3 linked regions of the Macaca mulatta genome follow. The protein of the gene in region 1 interacts with the protein of each later gene in a pairwise test. Links are inferred from orthologs where the notes say so. Each region holds a gene or a part of one and is shown in the gene's direction. Other genes may lie near its edges.

The links. The genes of interacting proteins can lie anywhere in the genome.
Region 2: the proteins of GPS2 (region 1) and RALBP1 interact in binary tests that used the Homo sapiens proteins (3 or more experiments, as listed by UniProt). The two-hybrid records come from large-scale screens. The link is inferred for Macaca mulatta from reciprocal best matches to the Homo sapiens genes GPS2 and RALBP1.
Region 3: the proteins of GPS2 (region 1) and SESTD1 interact in binary tests that used the Homo sapiens proteins (3 or more experiments, as listed by UniProt). The two-hybrid records come from large-scale screens. The link is inferred for Macaca mulatta from reciprocal best matches to the Homo sapiens genes GPS2 and SESTD1.

Annotation. Positions count from the first base shown.
Region 1 is NC_133421.1:8,806,326-8,810,564, reverse strand, and holds GPS2 (G protein pathway suppressor 2), read left to right. Parts: upstream 1-1,439; 5' UTR 1,440-1,546; intron 1,547-1,687; 5' UTR 1,688-1,756; coding exon 1,757-1,850; intron 1,851-2,210; coding exon 2,211-2,320; intron 2,321-2,404; coding exon 2,405-2,517; intron 2,518-2,648; coding exon 2,649-2,728; intron 2,729-2,819; coding exon 2,820-2,902; intron 2,903-3,083; coding exon 3,084-3,237; intron 3,238-3,335; coding exon 3,336-3,425; intron 3,426-3,514; coding exon 3,515-3,594; intron 3,595-3,681; coding exon 3,682-3,777; intron 3,778-3,961; coding exon 3,962-4,045; 3' UTR 4,046-4,141; downstream 4,142-4,239. Other genes in the region: NEURL4 (neuralized-like protein 4), read left to right, coding at 477-681. UniProt on the Homo sapiens protein: Key regulator of inflammation, lipid metabolism and mitochondrion homeostasis that acts by inhibiting the activity of the ubiquitin-conjugating enzyme UBE2N/Ubc13, thereby inhibiting 'Lys-63'-linked ubiquitination.
Region 2 is NC_133423.1:80,441,159-80,445,230, forward strand, and holds the start of RALBP1 (ralA-binding protein 1), read left to right. Parts: upstream 1-1,272; 5' UTR 1,273-1,483; intron 1,484-1,821; exon of another isoform or gene 1,822-1,997; intron 1,998-4,072. UniProt on the Homo sapiens protein: Multifunctional protein that functions as a downstream effector of RALA and RALB. As a GTPase-activating protein/GAP can inactivate CDC42 and RAC1 by stimulating their GTPase activity.
Region 3 is NC_133417.1:84,190,213-84,194,336, reverse strand, and holds the start of SESTD1 (SEC14 domain and spectrin repeat-containing protein 1), read left to right. Parts: upstream 1-1,324; 5' UTR 1,325-1,429; exon of another isoform or gene 1,430-1,804; intron 1,805-2,278; exon of another isoform or gene 2,279-2,344; intron 2,345-4,124. UniProt on the Homo sapiens protein: May act as the primary docking protein directing membrane turnover and assembly of the transient receptor potential channels TRPC4 and TRPC5.

The DNA of each region.
Region 1 (4,239 bases):
AAAGAGGGGGGCGAAGGAGACAGCAGTGTGGCTGGTGTGGGCATCGTAGGAAAGAGTGGGGCGAAGGAGACAGCAGTGTGGTTGGTGTGGGCATCGTAGGAAAGAGTGGGGCGAAGGAGACAGCAGTGTGGCTGGTGTGGGCATCGTAGGAAAGAGGGGGGCGAAGGAGACAGCAGTGTGGCTGGTGTGGGCATCGTAGGAAAGAGGGGGGCGAAGGAGACAGCAGTGTGGCTGGTGTGGGCATCGTAAGAAGGTGGGAGAGATTCGAGCAAAGGCTTGAAGAAGGAAGTGAAGGGTGTAGCTGAGCAGGCTTTGGGAGGAAGAACATTTCAGGTAGAAAGAACAGCTAGAGTGAAGCTCCTATAAGGCGGGAGTATTTCCTAGGTACAGCAAGGCTTGTGTGGTTGGAACAGACTTTGCAAGGGGGAGGTGATGGGGAGAGAAGCTTCACTCCCTTATTTTTTCCTGTTTGACAGATTCCGGGACCCCAAATCCCAGCGGACGCACCAGGCTCAGGTGGCGTTCCAGGTGTGTGTGCGCCCTGGCTCCTACACCCCGGGACCCCCTTCCGCTGCCCTTGGAGAACCTCCTGACCCTCACTTCAGTCCAGCCGAACTTGAGTGGGTCACTAAGGAGAAGGGGGCCACACTCCTCTATGCCCTGCTGGTACGGGTGGAATGAGGGGTGACACACAAATACTACAAGCACAGTCGGGCCTCGGGCCCATGGACTCTGGCGACTGCCTCCACCTCATTCCCGTGACTCGTGGCATGCGCAGGTGCTGGAGCTTGGCAGCCGCGCAGGAGCATGTAGGCAGGCTCTCAGATGTAGGTGGCAAGTGGCACAGCTCCATGTCTGGAGGCCCAGCACTCCGTCTGATGGGAGGAGCCGTGGGAGCCCAGCTCCAGGCCCTGGTACCCCTCTTCATGCACTGATTTGGGGAACATGACTCCCTTTTACTCCCCTTCCCCACATCACTTAATTTATTTCCGTTTTTGTTTCTGGTTACTGTGAATCCCAGAGGAGTCTCTCCCTGTGCCCACATGAAGCTGCTTTTTCCGGGGCCACCGGGCAGGAGTGGGGAAGGGTGGGCGCACGGAAGATGGGGGCCTCTGTACAGTTGTTACTGACTCTGATTTCTAAGGAGCCAATAAACACCGTCTCAGAGCCTCCGCCTCGGCCTCTCTCTCGCGCGCCCCTCCCCGGAGCCCGCGTCCCCTGGGGTGCCACCAGGTGGGCCCGCGAAATTAAAGAGAGCTGAGGATGCCAAGACCAGTTTACAGCCCTCGTCGCCCGCGTTCCCGGCTACGGGGTTTGGACGCCGCGGGCACCCGTCGCAGCGCGCTTCCGCTTTCTTTCACCCAACCCGTGAGGTCGGCCGCAGCCGTGACTCCGGAAGGACTTGGCCGGGCCGCCGGATGTGACGTACGGGCCAGGGCGCGCCGGAGCTGCTGAGAAAGCGCAGAGAAGGCGGGTAGGGAGGGCTGGCGTCCGGGCTGGCTGGGCAGGGAGCGGCAGCACCGAGTCGGGGATCCCGGCGCCGCCCGTGCGCGCGGTGGAGCGGGGGCTGCGGGCCCGGCCGGGTGGCGGGCTCCTGGGACACGTGACCGGGGCGGCTAGCGGGTCGGGCGGACGGGCTTCCGCCTGGGCCGGGCGCGGTCCCCTCTGAGCGCCCGCCTCCCCGCAGGCGCCGTCTGAGGTCTGGCAGTCAGAGACAGAGCCGGGCGCCCACGGCCCGAGCGCCCACGGCAGCACCATGCCCGCACTCCTGGAGCGCCCCAAGCTTTCCAACGCCATGGCCAGGGCGCTGCACCGGCACATTATGATGGAGCGGGAGCGCAAGCGGCAGGGTGAGCCGGGGCCATAGCGGGGGGACACACGGCCCAGAATGGCTCCTGTACCTCAGGGTTGGCCTCAACCCAGCGGCCAACCAGTGAGCCCGCTGCCGAGCGCAGAGGAGGGAAGGAATAGCCCCGTTGTGGTGGGATTTAAGCGTCCTGGTCCACGCTCCAGAACCCTTGAGACGGGAAGGACCTTGGAGAGCACCTGATAAAGCCTCTCCGTTCCCTATTGCAGCGATGGGGGAGCTTGTCCCCTCGAGGCAAAGAGCGCACAGGCGTGTTGGGATGACTGGGTTTTGCTGGTCTTCAATCTAACGTTGGAACTGTTTTCACTACCCTGCCTCTTCTTCATTCTGCCTGATTCTCCAGAGGAAGAAGAGGTGGATAAGATGATGGAACAGAAGATGAAGGAAGAACAGGAGAGAAGGAAGAAAAAGGAGATGGAAGAGAGAATGTCACTAGAGGAGACCAAGGAACAAGTAAGCAGTCCCTTGAACTCTCCCAGCTTTGATTTCTTCCCTTGACTCTCCCTGCCTTCATCTTCTCTTCCCACTCCCTCCCAGATTCTGAAGTTGGAGGAGAAGCTTTTGGCCCTACAGGAAGAGAAGCATCAGCTTTTCCTGCAGCTCAAGAAAGTTTTACATGAGGAAGAAAAACGGAGGCGAAAGGAACAGAGGTGGGATCAGAGTGCTAAAAACTGAAATGGGGGCCAAGTGGAACTGGGATCAAGTAATAAAAGAACTAGTGTTTAATGGCGAAAGAGAAGGCATCTGTCCTTAGCTTTGACCTGCCTTCCTCTCACTCCAGTGACCTGACCACCCTGACATCAGCTGCATACCAGCAGAGCCTGACTGTCCACACAGGAACTCATCTCCTCAGCATGCAGGGTGAGGACTAAAGAGACCACCTGATGGAACCGGCCTTCTTACAGGTTGCAGCCTCCCATTTCAGCATCATGAAGCCCTTCTCCCTTTCTAGGGAGCCCTGGAGGACACAATCGCCCAGGCACCCTCATGGCAGCTGACAGAGCCAAACAAATGTTTGGACCCCAAGTGCTTACGGTGAGAGTAGGATTGGATGCCCAGCCCCTACTGCTTCCATCCATGCATCCTTGCCACCAGTATTCAAGTCACAAACATATCAAGCACTTAAGTTTAGGGGGAAATGCGGCATACAGATATACACAAGTCACTGGGTTTCAGCTTTCAAGTTTATAGGCGAATTCTCATTCTCCCTCCTTAGACCCGGCACTATGTGGGCTCAGCAGCTGCTTTTGCGGGGACACCAGAGCATGGACAATTCCAAGGCAGTCCTGGTGGTGCCTATGGGACTGCTCAGCCCCCACCTCACTATGGGCCCACACAGCCAGCTTATAGTCCTAGTCAGCAGCTCAGAGGTGAGTAATAGGAGGGATGGGGCTTGGCCTTCCTCAACGTCAAAGGAGGAATGCCATTGAGTAAAAGGTTTTAATGGCTCTGTCTTTTCCTTTCTCAGCTCCTTCAGCATTCCCTACAGTGCAGTACCTATCTCAGCCACAGCCACAGCCCTATGCCGTGCACGGCCACTTTCAGCCCACTCAGACAGGTGATAACATCCCATGCAGGAGCTCTAGCTCTCTGGGTCCTCCCCTCCCTGTTTCATTCTCATCTCACATGCCCCTCTTCCCCACGTAGGTTTCCTCCAGCCTGGTGGTGCCCTGTCCTTGCAAAAGCAGATGGAACATGCTAACCAGCAGACTGGCTTCTCCGACTCAGTGAGTATGGCACCTTGGGAGGTCAGGGTTAGGGATATGTTAAGGGGAGCTTCAGTATGCCTCAGGCCCTGACTCTGTTCTCTGCAGTCCTCTCTGCGCCCCATGCACCCCCAGGCTCTGCATCCAGCCCCTGGACTCCTTGCTTCCCCACAGCTCCCTGTGCAGATGCAACCAGCAGGAAAGGTAAGAATGATAATAAAGTTTACCTGTCAGAATCCTTACACTAGGGATCCAGAAAAGCAGGATTAGGTAGGACCGGTGGCCCACATCACCTGGTTTTTCTTCCTCTCTGGGGGTGGTTACCAGTAGGGCATTAAGTGGGAGAGTACGCCCAGTGACAAAGCCCTCTTTTCATCACCACCGCCAGTCGGGCTTTGCAGCTACCAGCCAACCTGGCCCTCGGCTCCCCTTCATCCAACACAGCCAGAACCCGCGATTCTACCACAAGTGACGATCAGATTATATCTTCAACATCATGCCCCCTGCCCCACTGTGGGTGAGGATACCCCCCGTGTGTCCCAGGCCAATAAAATCTACCTGCCACTGACCCTGGCTGCTGCTGTTTGTGTTGCCTCCCACCCAACTGTCTGGAATAGGTCAAGGCTGCTTGGGGGGTGGGGGGATGACTGGCAGGTCCACAGCAAG
Region 2 (4,072 bases), on another chromosome or scaffold:
AAACTCTCATCCTTCTAGGGTTTCCCCTTATAGGAGGAAAACGGTTGCCACATTTCCAGGCGTCATATACTTACACCATGCTAGATAAGCAAGGAAGCTACCGTTTACTGGAAGTTCCAGCCCAAGTCTTTGTGGGTTCATTGTTTCTGACTGGGCTTGTGACCATCTCTGCTGCTAGAGGGAATGGTTACGTTGCCTGGCTTAAATGGGAGGAATAAATACTCAGGTGGCAGCCAACAAATATATTCTATATCCACACACATTGGCTCCAAATAATAAATCAATCAATCAGTGGGCCCACTTACTTAGGCTCACGTGCTCACAGCACTTAAAAAGCTGCACAAACCATGCCTCCAAATGAAACCACGGTCTACATTCTGCCAGCTCTTTCTCCCTTTCCATTTCCCCTTTCTTCTCTTTCCCACCCTCACGTTTGGCTAGGCCACTCGGTTGCAAGAAACACGTCCATCAGCAATTGCCTCAGTAGAAAACTCCCTCTGCTCCCCTCTTGCGTCCATATAGCAATTTCAGGCAAGGCCTCCATAAGGCCCAGCGTGGATCAATGCCTGTCCCTTGGCCGAATCAGTGCTGTCACAGGCAAAGAATTGTCACTGCCATGCTCACCTGCCCAACCCACTGGTCAGAGAAGACTGTTGTATTGCGAAAGGGGCCATGAGAAGGCTTTTCCGAAAGTCAAAGACCAATGGCTATGTCAGACCATGCCGTATCCACTTGTGGGAGGCCCCTAAATGAATGTAAGGCCCCAGGGGTTGAACTTTACTGGGTAGGAAGCGCAGAGTACTAGAGACAGATTTACCGCCCGCTTTGAGGAAAGCTGATGTGGGAGCAGAGAGCAAGATGGACAGCAGCTGCCAATCTAAATAGGCAACGAAGAGCCACAGAGAGTGCTGCACGTAGGAATGCCAGGGACAGGGAAGGGTCGTCTATTCCAAGTCCCACCTCTCCCCTAATAAACTGCCACATTTCAGAAAACACGAAGACTGCTGAAACCCTGTTTCCAGCCTTCGCTATGCATTAGCAGAGCAACTCAACAAGCCTGGGTGAAAGGCTTCTCGAAGAAATTCAGTTATCTCTACTGCCAGCCAAACACGGGCTGGGCTGCTCGGTAACTGCTGAGCCGGGGGCGCGCTGGAGCCCCGCAGAAGCCCACACCCGCTTCAGGAATTCCGTGGATGTTCCCGACAGAGGTTTATTCCCGCCTCTCCCTACAGGCCTACGGCGCTCCTTCCTCCAACCCCACACCCAGTCGAAGGCGGGGCAGCAGCCCCACCCAGGGGCAGGCCGGGCGGCCCCCAGGCCGGTTTAACTGGTTGGAACGACGAAAGCACGCTGGCGCAAGGAAAGTTCTCAACTTCGGGAGCTGAGGCGCAGGCTGGCCAGAGCGTGGAGAGGGAAGCTCTCTCCATCCTCTGGGCCGTTGCAGGACATGCCCACGAGACACCTTTGCCAGCACCACACCGGGGTAAGTGTCCGTCCCCGCATCCCGCAAGGCCAGCGACTGCGCAGGCGCCTGCAGAGCACTGGCGCTCGGCGCGTTCTCTCGCCTTCTTCTTTAGTCTCCTCAGCGAGCCTGGGGACGAAGGAGGCGCGGTGCCTCCTGGGTGTTGTAGTTTGCTTCCTTGGCAAAAGGCCTTCTGGCTAGTTGGATGCCGGGGCCTCGGGAACTACGCCTCCCAGCGCGACCCGCGCGAGAGCACAGGGCGCCTGCCCTTGACGGCTTCAGCCGTCTGAGCGGAGAGGAGGATCCGGGAAGCCGGCTGCGGCGGGAGGAGGGAATGCGCGTGCGCGCTGGACCGGCTCGTCCTGTTCCGTCCCAATCATTGTAAACAGGCGGAGGCTGGGCGGGGTGGGAATGGGGCGCCCGAGGCCGGCCTGGGGCGCAGCGCAGGAGGCGGCTCCGGTGGCTGCGGCGGCAGAGTGAGCGCGAGGAGGCGGAGGCTGCGGCGGGGCGGGCGGTCGCGCGGCGGCAGGCACAGGTCAGTCCCAGGGAGCGGTCGCGTGCGAGGGTCGCGGCGATGCCCCTGGAGTGCCCGAGGAGCCCTCTCCCGCGCCGGCCTCGCGCCTGCGTCTGTCAGGCAGCGTGTGGGGCTCGGTGCTCGCAGCCCTCGGGTTTGAAGTTGGGGGCGGGGGGCGTGGCTGCCCCCTCGTCGGTTTCTCCCGGGAAACCTTCGCCCCAGTTTTCGCCCCCCTGGCCGTGCGTCCCTCCCACTGGCCGACGGGCCTCCCTTCGTGGCGTCCGCGTTTGTGGTGCTCTCGGGGGCCAGGCGTGGAGAGTTAGGAGTCCCCAGGCCTCGGGGAAGCTCTTGGGGGGCGCCTGGACAGAGGTGAGGGGATCCAGCCCTCACGGTTGGATCGTGCCCGGCATAGTAGCCAGGCTCCGGGGCTTACCCAGGGGACCAGGACAGGCTCCTGGTGTCGCCCGCCGCTGGCACTGAGCAGTGGGCGCCTTTGGTGCTGCGGTCCTTCCTTCAGGTTTCCGTGGGAATGGACGGACAGATCTGGATGGAGTTGAGATTTCTTTTCACAACTCATGTTCAACTATGTGTGTTGCCAAAATGCTCTTAATTGAGGTCAGTTTTCTCCCTCTTTTTAAAAACCTGATCGTTGTGAGAGTGAAACAGGTTTTACGGAATATTTCACACCTGCGTCTTCCCTGAAGTAATTCTGCTGCTTCAACTTTTGGGATTCAGTATTACAAAGCCTTCCTCTTGAGCAAGGCCTAGTACAGTTCTTCAAGGTCCCTAGCATGTTAGTTCGAGGTGTTTTGAACGTGCATGTACAGGAAGTGCAGCCGTTTGGCCGTTGAGTTAGTGCACCATCCAGCCTTGTTAGAAAAGCTTTCGCTGAATTTTTTATTTAGTGGAGTGGTCGTGTCCTAAGGCTGCAGTACTTTGGGGAGTATTCCATCATACTTGGCAGTTATTCACGAAATACTGAATATGTGATAAGGTTTGTTTTGGTGCTCGGCACTTCTAAATGAATAAGTGGGACTGTGAGTAAGAAAGATCACCTCACTTTCTGTTTTTAGAGTTATTTTGGTGATTTGATAACTCCTTTCTGTCTTTGTGAAGGTAATTACTGTTAAGCTGGAGTGGCAGTAGTAGGGGTAGGAAGGTCAGTAGAGTGGTTCCCACTTCTCATTCAAAGTATCTGGTGGATCCAAGTGGAGTAGATTAGTTAACAGTAGCATTGTTTTTTATTTCTTATTTTTTGAGACGGAGTTTCGCTCTTGTTACCCAGGTTGGAGTGCAATGGCATGATCTCAGCTCATCACAACCTCCGCCTCCCAGGTTCAAACGATTCTGCAGCCTCAGCCTCCCGAGGGGATTACAGGCATGCACCATCACGCCTGGCTAATTTTATATTTTTAGTAGAGACAGATTTTCTCCATGTTGATCAGGCTGGTCTTGAACTCCCGACCTCAGGTGATCTGCCCGCCTAGGCCTCCCAAAGCGCTGGGATTACAGGCGTGCGCCACCGCAGCCGCCCAACAGTAGCTTTTGAGAAGTAACTCTTTTTTTTTTTTTTTTTTTTTTTTTGAGACGGAGTCTCGCTGTGTCACCCAGGCTGGAGTGCAGTGGCCTGATCTCGGCTCACTGCAAGCTCCGCCTCCCGGGTTCACGCCATTCTCCCGCCTCAGCCTCCCAAGTAGCTGAGACTACAGGCGCCCGCCACCACGCCCGGCTAGTTTTTTGTATTTTTAGTAGAGACGGGGTTTCACCATGTTAGCCAGGATAGTCTCGATCTCCTGACCTCGTGATCCACCCGCCTCGGCCTCCCAAAGTGCTGGGATTAGAGGCTTGAGCCACCGCGCCCGGCGGAGAAGTAACTCTTTAAACAAGGTATCTCGAAACAATGTAATACAATGTAATACAACTTAGTTTGCTATCTCTTCAAAATATTGTTTCTAATTATAGATCTTATTGGGACTATTTCTCCCCTAATTTAGAATAGGAAAGTGTTATCAGAAAGTGCATAATAACCTTAATTTGCACAGTTATATTTGCATAGTTGTTTGCTTGGCAAGAAGAGATCGGGCCCAGAATTAACC
Region 3 (4,124 bases), on another chromosome or scaffold:
TTTCAGGTGGGGGAAAACTACAAGGGCACAAAGACAAAGCCTGTTGAATTTGTGTGATACGTAGATATGTTAGGAGTTGAAGCTGGAGCCAAGGAGGTCAAGAGATCAGATTTTAAATGGCTTTGTAAACCATGATAACAGGTTTGACTCTGATTCAACCTGGTGGAGAGACTCTGAATGATTTTAAAGAGGGACATTGCATGCTCAGCTCTGTCTTTTTGGAGCATTCTCTCTGGCAGTTATGTGGAACTGAAGCAGCAGTGAAATTAAAGACTTGACCTAAAGAGTGGCAAAGAGGTGGAAGTCATGGAGACAGACTGATATTCACAGAATTAAGAAGAATTAATCCATGGGATTTTAAGTCAGAAAACTTTAGTGGAGAGAAATTTGGTTGCTTAGTTGTTGGAATGGCAAGATTTTATCAATGGAATTAGGTGATACTCAAGTGAGTGGCTGAGTGAATAATATGGAAGTCTTGAAATTGGGACCACACAGCTGCTCTGATCTGGTGTGAATTTGCTGATGACTCTTTTGAACTGAATTCAGGAAATGACATAAAAATGATTTGCGCAATAAAATGAGAACAAGGACTCTTAAGTCAGTATATTTGGAGAAAAATAACTAGGTTGGTAAAAATGGGGAAGTAGCCATTATCAGGGAGCCCCATTTGTGGATTAATTTTGGACTGTCCAATGGAAAGATCCTCAAAGCAAAACAAATGCCCTGAATCCAGCCCTTCCTCACAGCAACCCTTTCCCTTTCATCTGCCTTCATCCTTCAGCCACACCACGCCTTGGCAGTGGGTACTTGGGAGCAGCTCTTGGAGACCTTCTACTCGAACCTTCGAACTCCAGGATGAGGCCAGAGGAAATAAACGACCTGCCAAGGTGTCAAGTAGCGGGCCCTCTCTGAAGCCCAAATTTCTGACTTCAGGTCTAGGGACCCTTCCACTTTCCCAGACTGCCTCCCGCCTGGGGAGCCTGGGCCTCGACTAGGGGTGGGGACGGCAGGGTCCGTCCGGGATCGCCAGAGTCCCGCTCGCGCCCAGCCCTCAGCCCCAGGCCCGGTTGGACGCCCCGCCCCGCCCCACCCCGCCTGCTTCCCCCTTCCCGCGCCGGGCTGGGTCGCTGTACCGCCGTCACCCGGGCGTGCGCGGGGTCGCGCGGACGCGGCTCGGGCCGCGGGTGCCGAGAGGTCGCCGGGCCACCCGCGCCCCCGCTCCCGCCTGACGCACGGAGGGGCCGGGACGCGATTTGCCGCGAGTGACTGGAGCCGCCGCCGCCGTCGCCGCTGCTGCCGCCCGGGCCCGCTCCGCCCCCAGCCCGCCTTCCTCCCGCCGCGCCCTCCGCCTCCGCCCGCACCTCGCTAGCGTTCCCCTGTCCTCCCCAACGCCCCGGAGCCGCCGGCCGCTAGCGTCAGCGCCAGCCAGGTGAGTGTGGCCGCCGCTCGGCCTGGGCGGGAGAAGCGCGCAGGCCCCGCGGCCGGGTGGCCGGTGCAGCGGTGGCGCGGCGGCGGCGGCGGCGGCGGCAGCGGGCCCGGCTTTCTTCCCCCGCGCGGGCCGCGGGGCGGAGGGGCTGCGCAGTGAAGGAGGGGAGCCCCCGCCCCGCCACCCCTCCGCTCCCAGCGCCCTGGCCGCCCCCGCCGCCGCAGACAAAGCGCCCGAGGTGGGAGCCCCGCGGGCCGCCTTTGCCTCCGCGCCGTCTGCCGGGTGCGGCCGCGGCCCGCAGAGACCGGGCCGCGCGCTTTTCCGCTCTTGAGCGCCCTTGTTCATTTCTGGGTGAAAGGGACCCGAATTGTGCAACAGGTTTGGGCGTTAATCCTTATTTTCCAGCGGGTCTCTTTTGCCAGCGTGCAGGAACCAGATGTGGCTCCCGGCTCTGGGGCGAGTCCCCACGTCCAGCGCCCGCGGCTGGCTCCTTTGTGTGACCGGTGACCGGCCCTGTCGGGTGGGTGGGGGACACGGACTCGAGGCCCCAGGGCTGTGCCGAGGCTCCTGGACGCCTCCTCAGGTCGCGGGGCTTGGCTTCCACGGGCCTGCCGGAGGTTAACATCCCTCCAGCGTTTGGGAGAGTCACAAAGGGGAGGAGAGAGCGGGTTGGCCAGGGTCCGTGGTTGTGTGTTTTTCTATTTTAGGTAGACTCATACTAGAAAAGAGCCGCAGTCTGACCAGCTCTTGAGGGTACGGGTGGCATTTCACCCTGGGATGCACGGTTTGGACTTGGCTGTTGCTCTGATATCCCCCTTGGTTTTCTTGGTGCTTTGACATCTTTCTCTCATACACAGACATCGCGGGAGAAGTTGGAAGTGCTGCCGAGGGAGTAACTAGATAGCAGCTGTTTGACAGGTCGTCTCTTGCTTCACGTTTTGCCTGTGTCAAGCATGCCCACCATGTATCCCAGCATAGCTTGGCAAACCATCAAATTTAAATTGCTACTCAAAATCCTAATCCTTATACATACCGACATACACAGACACATATATATGTGTATATTTTTTCTATTTTGGCTGGCTAAATCTTATTAATGTGAGAATTTTTCCCCCCAAGGAAGAATGCATAATAAGGTACACTTTATCTTTGTTTACATACCTTGGGTTATGCCAATACCTAGCTGGTTTCATTGGTATGCTATTTTAGTGTAACAATACTAATTCCTTTAGCTTTGAGCAGTAAAATACGTCTTTGTTCTGGGACCAGGAAGCTTTTATACGTAATACTTTGCCCCACGACTAAATACATGAAAAAATTCCCGAAGGACCTAGAAAGCATTTCACAACTCTATAGGCTGTTTTTATGTTCCAAATTCCAGGAAATCGTTTTGTTGAATATTCAAACATTCTGGACTAAATTTAACCTTAAAAATTGGGCCCACTCTAGTAAGTTCCCCAGCATTAGAAAAATGAATTGATTGCATTTACCAAACATTTTAGCCCCTGTGAGTGAGAATTGAACGGAATAATTGATGTAAGAGATTAGGAGCTAGTGATGGACTAGGAATCTGACAACAGAATGCAGAATGTAGAAAGTTGTAAGTAGAGGTCACGAAGTTGCATCTCCTTGGGTTTTAGTTGATTGCTAGGCATTTAATAACATTTTAAACAGGTAATCTAATGATGTATCTGAAAATGAAATGTCCACTAATTAAGAAAACAAAGTATTGCATTTTGACCTTTTTAAAAAAATGTGTTTTATAATGACTTGTTGAAGCTTTTCCACTCTCTAAAAATGAACTTGGTATTAATAACATTTCTTTTGAAAAAATGAAATTATACCAAACTAATCCGATTCTTAGAAAGTTTCTCTGTTATAGTAGTTTTACTTTACTAAAAATACCATTAATCTGTGTAGTAGCTGACTTCAAAGATCTTTTAAAGCTGTTACAAGCAACATGAACAACCTCTTGAGGAAAGTAGAATATTTACTAATAAAAAGTAGCAAGCAGAGAAGTGAGCCACGACTGGACCATTCCATCCTGGGTGACAGAGCCAGCCTTGTCTCAAAAGAAAAAGCAGAGACTTAAATATTTATAATCATTTTCTTTGAGATATAATTCATATGCCATAGAATTCACTTTTTTAAAGTATACAATTTGGTGGTTTTAATATATTCACAAAATTGCGCAAATGTCAACACTAACCCAAGAACATTATTATCCTAAAAAGAACCTTGTACCTAGTAGCTTTTGTTACTATTCCCCCTCCCCCATATTTGACAACCACTAATTTACTTTATGTCTCTATGGATTTGCCTATTTTGGACACTTCATGTGAATAGAATCATAATATGTGGCCTTTTGTGTCTTTCACTTAGCATTATGCTTTCAGGGTTTATTCATATTATACCGTATATCAATACTTCATACCTTTTATGGCAGAATATTATTTTGTTATATGGCTATGCCACATTTTGTTTGTCCAGTCTTCAATTGATGGGCATTTGGGTTGTTTCTACTTTTTGGCTATAATGAATAATGTTGTGGATACTCAATTACAAGTTTTTGTATGGTATATATGCTTTCAGTTTTCTTGGATGTATACCTAGATGTGTAATTGCTGGGTTATATGGTAATTCTGTTTAACTTTTTGAGGATCTACTAGACTGTTTTCCATAGCTGCTGCGCTGTTTT